Linked DNA regions of Oryzias latipes. The protein of the gene in region 3 interacts with the protein of the main gene of each other region in a pairwise test. Links are inferred from orthologs where the notes say so. Each region holds a gene or a part of one and is shown on either strand. Other genes may lie near its edges.

Region 1 (4,032 bases), on a different chromosome or scaffold from region 3:
AAGGAAGTTATGCTCCTCAAACAAGCGCAAATTGGGGAAACATTAAAGTCAAAGCATAGAGTACGAACAGGAAACGACTATGAGGGAGGGACACCCGGCAAACCTGTAAGGACAGCAAATCGGCACGCTGCTTTACATGTTATGTAAAAGATGAGTGTCCCATATGCAAAATTACTTTAATGTCCAATTTTTTTTCTTTTTTTTTGCGATGCGCAGCATCAAAAGCCTGTCCTTGAAGTCGGGGTCAAAACCGCAGGAGGGGGTTTCTCTTTTCATCAGTGCTATTTATACTCTAATATCACTTTCTTCTGTGACAGAATTGAAGCGAGGCATCGCTGGCCAATCAAATTTCAGGCCTTTTTTAGAAGCATTTCTGATTTCACAACAGCCTATGAGTAACTCAGGAAACCCCATCAGGATTTCTTATTTCTCTATGCACAGAACATGCTTATTACATTGTAACAAAGCATTTTGCTCCTGAAGAGACAGATTCACCAAGCAAGCGTTGAGCCTCAAAAGTAAAAAAAAAAAGACGCTAAACATTTTGGCAAAGCCTATAAATGGCCGTTGGCTGGCGTATTTGCCAATCCAAAGAACTTGAAGGAGAAAGCGGGCCTAAAGCCCAGTGGGTTTGTTTGTTACAGAGTGTATGCATGTGTCAAGCACAAACAAACTCATACCTTTCACATCCACACGCACAAACCCAGCATGTTTCTGTGTCAGAAAAGAAATCAAAGGAACGCGGAGGGATCCGCGCCCTAAAAATATCACCTTTGATTTCACAAAACTACACATTTAAAAGTGCCTGTGGTGACATAGCACTCGCTCCTGCTGATCTTTCCTAACGGTGGTTGTAATGAATTTTTTTGTTCTTGCCCAATGGCGACATTTTGGTGTTTCTAACAACACTTTTGTCATATCGTGCAAGTCATGTCAAGCTGCCTGTTTACTGTAAATGGCATAGATAATGAACAGAAGGGTCCACTGATGCACACAAGGAGGGCATTTTCTTTCTGTTTTGGATTTCATTGGTGCACATTATGTGCAATTAGCATTTGAAATTGTCTGATTATCAAGTAAACAACTGCTGTGCCTTATATTTTAAGAGTAGTTGAATTCTGTGGAGGAGGTTCGTCGAAATAAAAGCTTTTCTATTGTAAAATTCTCACACCTAACAATAGAAAAAAACATCCTTTTAGCTGAAAAGGCTGCATTATTGAGACGTTGTTATTAATCTGCAGCTACACCTGTTTCTGCTCGTCTGTTTTTTCCTTTTTTCTCTTATTTCAAAGTTAAATATTAACCTGCTGGTGTTTAAATGACCTTTAACCAGCTGTGCAGCTGTGCTCAAAGCAAAACGAGGCCGAAGTGAAACTGAAACTTACAGTATTGTAATACTACTCCAGAGGATTTCTTGCAGCAGCAATAATGGGAGGTGTCGAGTGTTTTTTTTTTTGTTTGTTTGTTTTTCCTGCAGGAGCAATGGTTCAGTGCAAAAAAACACAAGTTTAATACCAAGTGTTAATGCATCTAAACAGGGCTGCGGTTTCTGAGCCCAGGACCCGGCGTTATGTGACTTTACATCAAACACATCAAACTAAACACAGACACCACATGAAGAGGAGAAAAAAAAGGCATTTTGAAGCTTTTGGTGGAAGCAGCAGATCAGAGGGTCTGCATAAACAAAAGGTTAAACCCATGTGAAGTGTTGTGTTTTTAGATTGGTGGGGGTGGTAAAAGGTGAGAGTGAAAGAGACAGAGCAGAGGCTGCAGAGTTGACAGTGTACGCGTGGCACTGTTTATTGGACAGACCAAAACACCAGAGCCAGGCCCAGCTCCGTGAGAAAAAAAAAAAAACACCGTGAAGGCTGAACGCTGGCGGCCGGAAACCCACCGTGCGACTGGGAGGGTTTCCATCAACACAAACCGGGAGTTTAAAAAATAAAAGCCCGGAATTTTTTTAAAAAAAACCAAAATAAAATACTTACCTATTGTTTTGAGTTTTTCTGGACATTGTAGAGGTTTTCGTTTTCTTTCGAGAAAAGTCGTTGGTGTATGGTAAAACAGAGGCATAACCGTGCTCTGCCTCTGTTGGCACACAAAGCAAACATAAATGCTATAGCTTGCTGCAGGAGCAGCAAAACGAAATTAACGAGGCATTAAAGACAAGGCATAAAGACAAATGCATCAGCTTGGTGTCACTTTAAGGGATAAAAAAAGGGTGATCGATCGTTATTGGATTACAATACACTGGAGGGTAAACTATATAGTCGGTTAGATCTATGTTAGGCAGGCTAAATATTGATACACAACCATTTAAAGACATTTTGTACAATATTTGTTTACTAATTCGACACGCAGTCGAAATAAGTTTGAGCAATTTGTAGAAAAAAAATTAGGTCGTAAACGTGTGACAAATAACAGTTGGAAGCTGCTGTGAGGATACAGCTTGGACCCATCGCCCGATAGTGTCCCACTGAGCCTGAAGTGACATCATACCTGCACTATGGCAGGGCACGTCAAAACGTAACAACACACACAAACTTAAGCTAGCTGTTACTGGCATCCTCCACTCACAAATAATCGCAAATGTTTAAATACCTCTGTCTCTTCTTTCCAAGTACTCTGCAGCCTCCAGTAGAATTAAAAGAGAATTAAGTTCCATCTTCTTGTTGTCTTTATATAAAAAATAGAAATAGCCTATTTACACTAATGTACAGTTCATAAAATGGTGTAATGACCGTGTAAAAACTCTTTTAGAGCGGTGTGAGCGCCCTGCTATGATCACTTCTGAGTCGAGATGACTCCAAACTACAGTAACAACAGCACCTAACTCAGGGAAGTGAGTGATCGTACCTCCGTCCAATGAAAAAAGTATTCCGTCGTCTCTTGGGCGTGTCTAGACCAATGAATCGGTCGACACCTCCTAGGTGCGATCTGATTGGCTACACGCTGCGAAAGTCACAAGAGGCATGCCCTAGCAACAGCCGAAGCAGCCCACCTTTTCCGCAGCTGATTGGCTGCATGCTCAGAAGAGAGCGATTTGATTGGTTAGAAGGAAATTAATGTGTAGTTGCTGAACTTGGGTGTTGTTTTGGAGGCCAAGCTGGAACCTCCCCGTGTACGCCTTTCCTTTGAAATTATAAAGTAAACTAGATGTTTTCAGTCAAGATATTTCATATACCGTACGTCATCTGTCGTTAGCGTGAGTTTTTTTGGGAAGAGAATTGGTCATTCTTCCTCTTTTTTTAACTTCTTCTAATTTCCTGTCCAAGTCATGGTGAAAGTTCTGTGCAGGCCTGCACGTTTGCAAAGTTATCACAATTAATATATAAGAGCATATGGCGTAACATGGTTTCCTATTATGATGAAAAAAACACACAAAAGTGTAGGAGAAATGAAACACACAATCTTTGAAATGTTTGTCTTGAAGATGTTCATCGTAGAAATAACCACAGTTACAGGTTTTAATTTGCAGATTGTGGTACAGACATGACTCATAAAATATTATGTCCAAAAGCATTTCGCTTTCTAAATAAATCATAGGGTATGCAATTTGTTAGTGAAATATTATGCTATCAAAAAGTTTGTAAGCACATATAAAGGAATTAGAAGTAAAAATTCATTTTTAAAATATTACATGTTTTACGACTGTGAACCAAAATTCTTGTAAAGTAAATTAGATTGTGTTGTTTGTTTTAGTTGTCTAACATTGGATAGTAAAAAAAATTACATATAGTATATTCTCTAAAAAGTAAGTGCGTTGAGTTATTTAAGTTATTTGAGTTATTTGATTGCTTTTTGTTCCGCTGTATACACATTTGGCATATTATGAGTAATATGTTTGCTCATTATAATCTACTTTTATAGAGAATTTATGTTAAATGCATGCTGGGAGTGTTATTATTTTGCCTAACAATCATCAAATGCTAACATTTAAGTGTGGGGAGACCTTGATGTTATAATCTGATCAGAAATTTGTTTTTTTGTTTGTTTTTTCAATTTTGAAGCTGAAAAGAAACAGGAGATCAT
Region 2 (4,004 bases), on a different chromosome or scaffold from region 3:
CAACATTTATTTAAAAAAAATAAATGTAAAACCTGCAGAGTAAAAAATTTCTACATTTTAGTCATTTTTTTTCGATTAAAAACCCAAATTTGAACATATTTGGTTGGTCTCAGGTTCTATTAAGCTGTAAGAAAATATATAAGATTTGAAAAAGACATTTAATTGCAGCACGCCTGTTGAAAGAGGAGATGTAATAAAGCTACCCAACAATAAAAGAGGGTGTGATAAACTGGCTGCAGAACAACAACAACAAAAATAAAATAATGACGTCTACAAATTCATGGCAGCAGACTTCACCAAGGGGACACTTCACTGTGAGGCTCTCAAAAGCAGCTCCAACATGGACACAGGAAGTGCTCCCAAAATAAAACCCAACAGAAGGAGGAAATGTGGCCAAAACCGTTGAAACAAATGGGTGATAGCACGAAACAAGATGACAGCGATCTGTGACGGGGAGGAAAACGTCAGAAATATTATAATGATATAATTACACAGTGATGGCCTAATAGAGTAATAGAGACTCAAAAAATTGGGGGAAATGTTTTATCGCAGTAAAAAAAAATCTGCTCAAATAATCTAAAGCGCTGTTTAGATTGAAAAACAAAGTGATTTAATCGTGACCCCTTCCAAGAAAGGGTTTAAAAAAATACATTTATATCAATTTTAGCAAGAATGTACAGTGACATAGTTGTACTGGACTGATGACAATAGTCTTTATCGCAAAAGAAGATGAATTAGGACACTAAGTAAACACAGAAAGATATTTTCACATGGAAAGCACCAAAATCCTAAACTAACTTGAACTTATCATAGAATGTTTTCCAGGAAGCCAATACTCTGACTAAATCAGATTTAATTCAATTTTAACTGAACAACAATTCATTCTGAAAGGGGATCATTTGTGATGTTTTTTGAATCGTGGTGTTCAGACACTGTTGGAGTTAACATGCATAATCCAAATGAAGATCCTATTGTGAATGAGGAAATATTCAAAATACTCTGTTTGCATGTGCTCCAAGAACAACATTATTCTGGTTTAAAATGTTTCTGTTACGGTCAGAGGGGGTTTTAGAACAACTGTTTCCCCAGAGAGGGAAAAACCTTTTTCACAGATGATCTTTAGGCTAAATTTCCAGTATAAACATTTTTTATGACATATTAGTAATTCTACAAATGGAACATTGCTGCACATGTAAAAACAGGCCTACCTTTTTTTTCCTCTTTTGTCGTTCTATTGTCACATTTCCTCTCCACTAAATAGGTTTGTGTTCAAATTAAAGCTTTGACATTTTGATTTTTCTTCAACACAGACTCTTGTCACATGATTTCAAACGCTTTTACCTGCTACTTATGTTTTTCTTGCTTTTGCTTTTCCTTTTCAGGCTTTCCCTCTCTCTGCTGCTGCTGCTGCTGCTGAATGGTGGCATGGAGGCATAGCCGTGTTCAGCTTCTGCAAACAAACAAACAAACAGACAAACAAACAGTGATCACATGTCATCATTCATTTCTGCAGATACTGCAACAGTTAGGGCATGCCAGAAGGCTGCAAGGTGTGCACCCGGCTCTCTTTATTTTATTGCTTATGTGCATGCATGCAGTATTTTCACACAGTATCCCCCCACCCCCCACCCCAACAGCCTGGATAATGATGTCATCTTAAACTGGAATAAACCCCACAAGCAAACCACAACATAAGGAAAGGAGGAGCTTTCCTGCAAACAGTGTCTCCCTGCATCTGATTTCCTCGATTTATTCATAAAATATTTGAATATTTAATTGATGTTTATATGCCAAGTATGAAGTTGTACATGTCCTTACATGTGGGGGAAAAGTAAACCCTGCAACGATGCTTATCTGAGTCGGTAACTCCACCATGTACTAAGAATTAAAGTGTTCAAAAGGCGCTTTGAAATCACGTGAACCGATTGATCATGTGTGCAAACACAGTCTTTGTTAATGTTTGGAGGGGGGGGGGGGCGAGTCACAAAGCACAGAATGTAAATATGCTTTATTTACCTCGTTCCCTGCGATCCAGATACTCGGCTGCTTCGATCAACATCTGCACCATTCCGATCGCCGCCATTTTCAACAATAACTGGGATATTCTAGCAATCCGATGAGGGATTCCGTGACTGTACACAGCGTTCCTCCTCTCACGTCCAGCCCCTCAGCTGCTGTGATGCTCCGGCCGGTTTTCTTTTTAAAAGGCGGCGTGAAACGTTAGAGGGCTGTTCTGTGGGAGTTAAAGGTCCCAGATTGTTTTTTTTTTTGTTTGTTTTTTTGGTTAAGAGCTAACGTTGATGTCTATTAAAAGCTGTTTGAGAGAGGCAGTAAAAGCTAGCTAATCAAAGCTAAGGCAAACCTTCCCCCTAAAAAATTAAGAAATATATAATATAAAAGGTTCCTTATCTTCTATTTGGGCTAATTTAGACGCTTTGAGAAAATATTGGCGAAAAATCCAGAGAGACTTGTCAGTAAACGAATGCTGATTGTCAAACAAAAAAGACAGGAACAGGTTCGCGGACACTAGGAATTAAGGAAAAAAAAGTAAAAAGAAAAAAAGAAAGTTCTTGAAAGATTTGCTGTATCGGCTAATCGAGAAAAAAATCCGCCTGTTGAATTGTCACAAACTTAACTGGTGTGACAGTGGTAGAAAAAAATTAAATTAAATTAAAAGCTTGACGAACCGACGCTTCTTTTCAGTTTTATCGGTTTCGGGGCAGACTAGCTTACTGCTGGTTTATCGCTCGTGACACGCCACGCGCTTCGTTTGACACGCATCAGTTTAAGAAGAACGACAGTTTATCAAAGTGCTTCCAAATACTGGCTGGTTGATGTAGACAACAGCAACACACTGTACTCTCCACGAAGCCTCTCAGTACTCTTCTGTGATTGGACAGAGCCGATTGGAGGTCGATTGCCCATTGGGCTACTCAGGCATCAATCATTTAAAGGGGCGGAAGTGTCTTTGCAGTTGAGGAACTGCTTCGAAATCGCAAGCAGCAACCCGTGTATTGTGATTGGAGATTTAGTTAAACGCTTGTTAGCTATTGGGCTACTAAACCAGACAAACTAAAGCGATAGCTCCCTTTTTGGAGTGAAAATGCCGTCTTTTTACGCTGCATCGTGGTGTTGGGCTATGATTGGTTCCTACAGTTTCACTTCCTGTATTATTCCTCCCTTTATTGGTTATGTACGCGTGTGCCATCGCATAACCACGCCCCATTACAGTAACGTGGCAAAGTAACGAAACTCGTTGACAAAAATTGATTTCTTTAAAGTTGAGGAAAGGATTAATGTTTGATATTTCAACATAGCTATCTAAAAAAATTATATCAACCAAAAATCATAATACAAATAAAAATTAAGCAATTTACACAAAACAAGGATTCATTTTTTATATAAATACTTGCATAGCCACATCTATGTGTGGGTTTTCAGTTATAAATTTAGTGGAATTACTGCACCATCCAAATTTAAAGTGTAAAGTTCTTAGGACAATATCTAAACAATGTGATTTCCTACAAAAACACAGCTTGACTATTTTCTGTTTAAGTTCAAAGGTAGACTTAGTGAAAACAGCCATAAACAGCCATACAACAATGAGTTAAAATTTAAGTTGGTGCAACAACAACTCAAATCAAATGCTCTAATTCCTTTTTTTTAAATGTAAAATACTTTAGCTCTGCCTTTTAATGAATCCAACTTTTTCCATAATGTGTTTCTATCTCCCCATCAAATTCTCATTTGCACAGCAGCACATGCATTTTAAACGTTTGTGTTCTGCTCTATTTAATCCATTGTTTGCTCTTCCGTACTTTAAAATGCAGTGTTCTAAATATTAGAGAGTCTAAGCGTCATGATTCACTTTTTCACTGCCCTTTTTTCCTTTTAAAAAGGTTAATGTACGTGCCTTTGTTTGCCATTTCCTTCTTTGTTCAGAGACATCACTTCTGGGTTTGTTGAACCAAATCTTAAAACCAACTTCAGCTTTTATTTATTTA
Region 3 (4,242 bases):
ACCTGTGGTTTGCAGTGCTCTTCAATCCAGCTAAAAACACAAGCAGACAGTTCTTCGAAGCTGCTGACTGAGACGGAGTTGCTGAAGGACACAAACAGGGAGTCCATGATGCTCTGAAAGATGTCAAACTTGACCTGGTCAGACACCTGATCCTCTCCCTGTTGTGGATTGCTCTGATGAGCCTTTACTATGTGCTCATAGTTCCTTCAAAAAAACAAAACAGACAGTATTTATACCACTAAAGGTTGACAGCAGTTATGAATTTAACAGTTTACTTCAGTTTCTATTAGATTATTGAAGCTAAAAAGGTCCTGGAGAAGAAGAAAAAACAAACTATGATACAAAAATGATGTTTTTTTCAACAAAACTTTACATTAGAAAAGGGGCAAGAACTTAAAAAAAATCAAAATCTCTTAATGCAAAAAAAACAACAACTATATTTTTAATCCAAATAAAGGCAGAGTGTTGACAAACTATGAGGAAGACTTAAGTAGGAAAAGGTGGTATGTCATTATAAGCTGCTCTCACGTTTTCATTATCTTAAGTGCCATAACTTCTTTCCTCAGGACAGAGACTTCCTCCTCTTGCTTCTTCTTTTCTTTATGAAGAAAATGAATGTAGTCAATAGCTAAAAAAAAAAAAAAGAATCAGAGCATTGTCAGTTAGTTTCTTCATACTGCTTTTTATGGTTTTTGCATCTATTTTGTGACCATAAAGGTAACTGAAACTAGATCGTGTTATCAGTTTTTAAATGTGTTTAGTGGAAACTACCATCTCACATTTACCTGACTGTCTGAAAATAACCTCACTTTTAGCATTACAGGTGTTTCAAATATAAAAAGAATAAATACTTTTACAAATGTAAAAGAACAAATGTTATCATCCCACTATTTCAATAGGTTTTGAGTAAATCTTACTTTTCTGCAGGATTGTAGCTTTGCTGATCTTCTGTGCTCCTACGGCAAACTCAGACTGCTGTTGACAGGTTGGAACAATTGACTGAAGATCATCATAACCTTTCTGAAATAAAAGTAAAGAAATATATACGAGATCAGATATCTGGAATTTTAAAGACAGTGACGCGATTCTTCTGCGGTCTCACCTTGATGGCATCTCTGCGCTTTTGCTCAGCTTGTGTGTGCGCTTGTCTCCTTCTGTCTTTATACGAGTCTTTAAGCGACGTCTCGTGTCTGTAGTCGCTGTCCTCATCATCTATTTTGGAATAAATTAAACTATTGTGACCCGACTCTGTTTTTGTGCTGTCGATCAAATTATAAAAAGCATTTCAATAAATACAAGAGTCAAATCTCAAAGTGGCCTCATGGTTCTATTGGGATGTTAGCATGTTTTTATAAACATTTCTCACCAAGAAAAAGTATATTAAATACTTTTAACCAAAGAATTTAGTCTTCCAGAAAAGGGTAGATAGCACAATTGTGGATTGAAAAGAAAAACAATAAAGTAATTTCCTATTATTTTCATTTATGATGACAGAGTAAAACTTTTGATTGATATCAAAACAGACTGGATGTCGATTTAAAAGACTCTAAAGCTACCAGTATTTGGTACTGAAGAGGCACTTGTTGACCCGATGCTGTTTGCTCTGGACACCACACTTCCTTTTCTGGCTGTTTCAATATAGAAACCTGCAAATATAAGCATAAATGTTTAGAAATATGACAAAAATAAGACATAAACAAAAAGAAAACCAATCCGAAAAAGTTGTTTTCTCACAGGCAGGATTTGATTTAAAAACAAAACCCAAAAACTACTCACTTTGGTCAAAGCCACCATCGCTGAAAGCACCATCTGTCTGCGCAGCCATCATAAAGAAGCAGGAGAAATGGACAAAAAGCGGTGGGTTTACCATTATAGACCAAAAAAAGAAAAGAAAGTGTGCTGTTCTAAATACTTTGATTACAAAGACCAGAACACCCACTGAGGATTGTCCTGGTTTAACACATTCAAGCAGGGAGAACACAACTCGTTCGATCGCAATTTAGTTAAAATTTAGGACAACAACAAAAGAACAGGTAAACTTCACAATTAGTGATTTTCTAGTGGCTCCCTCTTGAATGGTACTTTCAGCATCAAAGTTAAGCTGACATATAAAAAAATACAATTAATCTACTGTAAAGTCAAGATTCAAAGGTTTTTTAACATCAAAAATATCTCTTAAAATTTTACTTAGTGGCACTGGTACCAAACCTGACAAAACAAACTACATGCATTAGCTTAAATGTAAAGGCAGACTACTAGTACTTCTTCGTTATGAAATCTTGACAGAAACCAAATTTTCATTTTCCTACCGTCATTGTACACACAATGAAACCGACTCTCTCTCCGTTCTTTTGTTTAGATATCTACGGTTTTGCTGACCCAAGTGTATTTTTTTCATGTGCATGAAGACTTTTTAAAAACTGAATTAACCCGAGTTTTCCGGTAGCTTTGTTTACTTAGCTAGCTTGCTTTGCTAAGCACTTCAATGTTGCTTAACGTCACTAAGCTAGTTAGCCGCGAGGCTATTATCAAAGCACCGTTTCCACTTTACTTCCGCGTTTTGACAGCCGAGTCAGTTATAACTGCCGCCCCCAACAACACAGACCAAGTAATTATTTAAAAAAGTAAAGTTTGTGATAAGTTAAAATCTGGTTCATAAGAGTGACTTACTTTCCAGTGTTCCTCTGGGGATGTAGGATCCGTCATTTTGGAAGGCTGAAAAAACTAATAGTGGTGTCGCATTCACGTGTCACTCGTAAATTAAACTGCTTTGTTAGGAATGAGATGCGTTCATATTTCAAACCATCAACATTTAAATAATACTTTAACTATAAATATAAATACTTTATATATGTATGTGTTTTGTATACAAGTAGTTTTTTTGTTTCTGTGATTAATTAGTAAGAAGATACTTTTAAATGTTTTACCTTTTGATGTAATATGTAACTGACGTAATTTTTGGTAAAAATGTAGGCACCTATTGTTCAAACTTCAAGTATTTGTCACATATATTTATTTATTCCTTTAACTATTTATATACACAACAATGTGAATGTTAGTATCATTCATAACGAAAATTTCATACTGATCTCAAATGTTGCACGGCTATATGCAGTGATAATCTTTAAACGCAGGAGGTCGCTGTTTCTCAGTTTTAAAACCAGTATTCAACTTTAGCTGTTTGACCCGTGCGACCTCCAAAACAAACCTGTCTCAAGCTAGAGTGGAATAAACAGCTCCAGTTTATAGATTTAGCTTTAAATGATTAATAAGCTGCAGACAATTCTATTGTTGGTTTAATTTTGTACATTTGCATGTTGTAATTGTGTCTTTATTTCTGGTTACCATGAGCAATGTAGTTCTTTTCTTTTGCTATGTGTTGTTTATTTGTTATGTACCTTTTTATATTTGTGATCCGAATAACGGATGCAGTTTATCTTCCACCCTGTCCTCCACCTCAGGTTCTGCTGCACTCATACACAGGAAGTTACTCTTCTGCTTTTCTGCTTCTGTGGTTTCTGTCTGTGTTTCACACTCCCCTCTCCTTCCTCTCATACAGAGGCGTCTCTGCCTTATTCAGAGAAGTTTTCAACCTGTGTAGAAATAGTTCATGAGAGTTGGGTACGTCTTTTCTTAGAGCACGCAGGCCTAACAAGGCTATTGTCTTGTTCTTGTTGGCTCATGTAGACAGACAAGTTTCTGAGCGGACAAACATGAAGACAACCCTCGTTTTTTTCATCACTTATCCTGTCTTGAAGACAGGACGCAATTTAGAATAAATGTTCTTCACCTTAAAGGCACAGGACTTGATTCATCTTAGACCTTCCTGTTTTTGTCATTTAGAGTGACCAACTTTTTGTCACTCTGCTCTGGAATACACCAATTTTCCTCGGAGAAAGGGTTTGTGTAAAGCTTTCCTCCTGGATTACTTTTGGAGATTAGTGATGGGGAATGCGGCGGCAGGGGGCTTGGAGCAAGAACCTGCTGACGGCCGGGACGCCAGGATCTCGGTTTCGGCAATGAGTGATCCCGCACTTGTCTTGCAGAAGAAACAGTCGGCTCCCCCAAAACTTCCCATGCCTCCGGAGGAGGAGCTGGAAGAACGCTTCAATGTGGTCCTGGTGAGTGGTTCTTGTTACTCACACTTTCACCAAATGCAGAGACACTACAGTCCAAGAAACCTGTTGTTAGGAAGGTTATTTGGAATCACATAAATAAGAAGTTTGATCTAATATAACCTTT

Evidence for each region.
Region 1: the proteins of mlx (region 3) and mxd4 interact in a two-hybrid assay, tested with the Homo sapiens proteins (2 studies listed by BioGRID). The link is inferred for Oryzias latipes from reciprocal best matches to the Homo sapiens genes MLX and MXD4.
Region 2: the proteins of mlx (region 3) and mxd1 interact in a two-hybrid assay, tested with the Homo sapiens proteins (2 studies listed by BioGRID and IntAct). The link is inferred for Oryzias latipes from reciprocal best matches to the Homo sapiens genes MLX and MXD1.

The regions. Positions count from the first base shown.
Region 1 is NC_019859.2:15,515,700-15,519,731, reverse strand, and holds the start of mxd4 (max dimerization protein 4), read right to left. Parts: upstream 2,844-4,032; 5' UTR 2,666-2,843; coding exon 2,602-2,665; intron 2,089-2,601; coding exon 1,989-2,088; intron 1-1,988. UniProt on the Homo sapiens protein: Transcriptional repressor. Binds with MAX to form a sequence-specific DNA-binding protein complex which recognizes the core sequence 5'-CAC[GA]TG-3'.
Region 2 is NC_019867.2:24,931,460-24,935,463, reverse strand, and holds the start of mxd1 (max dimerization protein 1), read right to left. Parts: upstream 2,851-4,004; 5' UTR 2,084-2,850; coding exon 2,017-2,083; intron 1,451-2,016; coding exon 1,342-1,450; intron 1-1,341. UniProt on the Homo sapiens protein: Component of a transcriptional repressor complex together with MAX. In complex with MAX binds to the core DNA sequence 5'-CAC[GA]TG-3'. Antagonizes MYC transcriptional activity by competing with MYC for MAX binding.
Region 3 is NC_019866.2:6,755,834-6,760,075, forward strand, and holds the start of mlx (max-like protein X), read right to left. Parts: upstream 2,810-4,242; 5' UTR 2,707-2,809; coding exon 2,671-2,706; intron 2,621-2,670; exon of another isoform or gene 2,316-2,620; coding exon of another isoform or gene 2,310-2,315; intron 1,814-2,309; coding exon 1,777-1,813; intron 1,647-1,776; coding exon 1,557-1,646; intron 1,213-1,556; coding exon 1,103-1,212; intron 1,021-1,102; coding exon 918-1,020; intron 629-917; coding exon 529-628; intron 205-528; coding exon 3-204; intron 1-2. Other genes in the region: fmnl1 (formin-like protein 1), read left to right, coding at 3,945-4,121. UniProt on the Homo sapiens protein: Transcription regulator. Forms a sequence-specific DNA-binding protein complex with MAD1, MAD4, MNT, WBSCR14 and MLXIP which recognizes the core sequence 5'-CACGTG-3'. The TCFL4-MAD1, TCFL4-MAD4, TCFL4-WBSCR14 complexes are transcriptional repressors.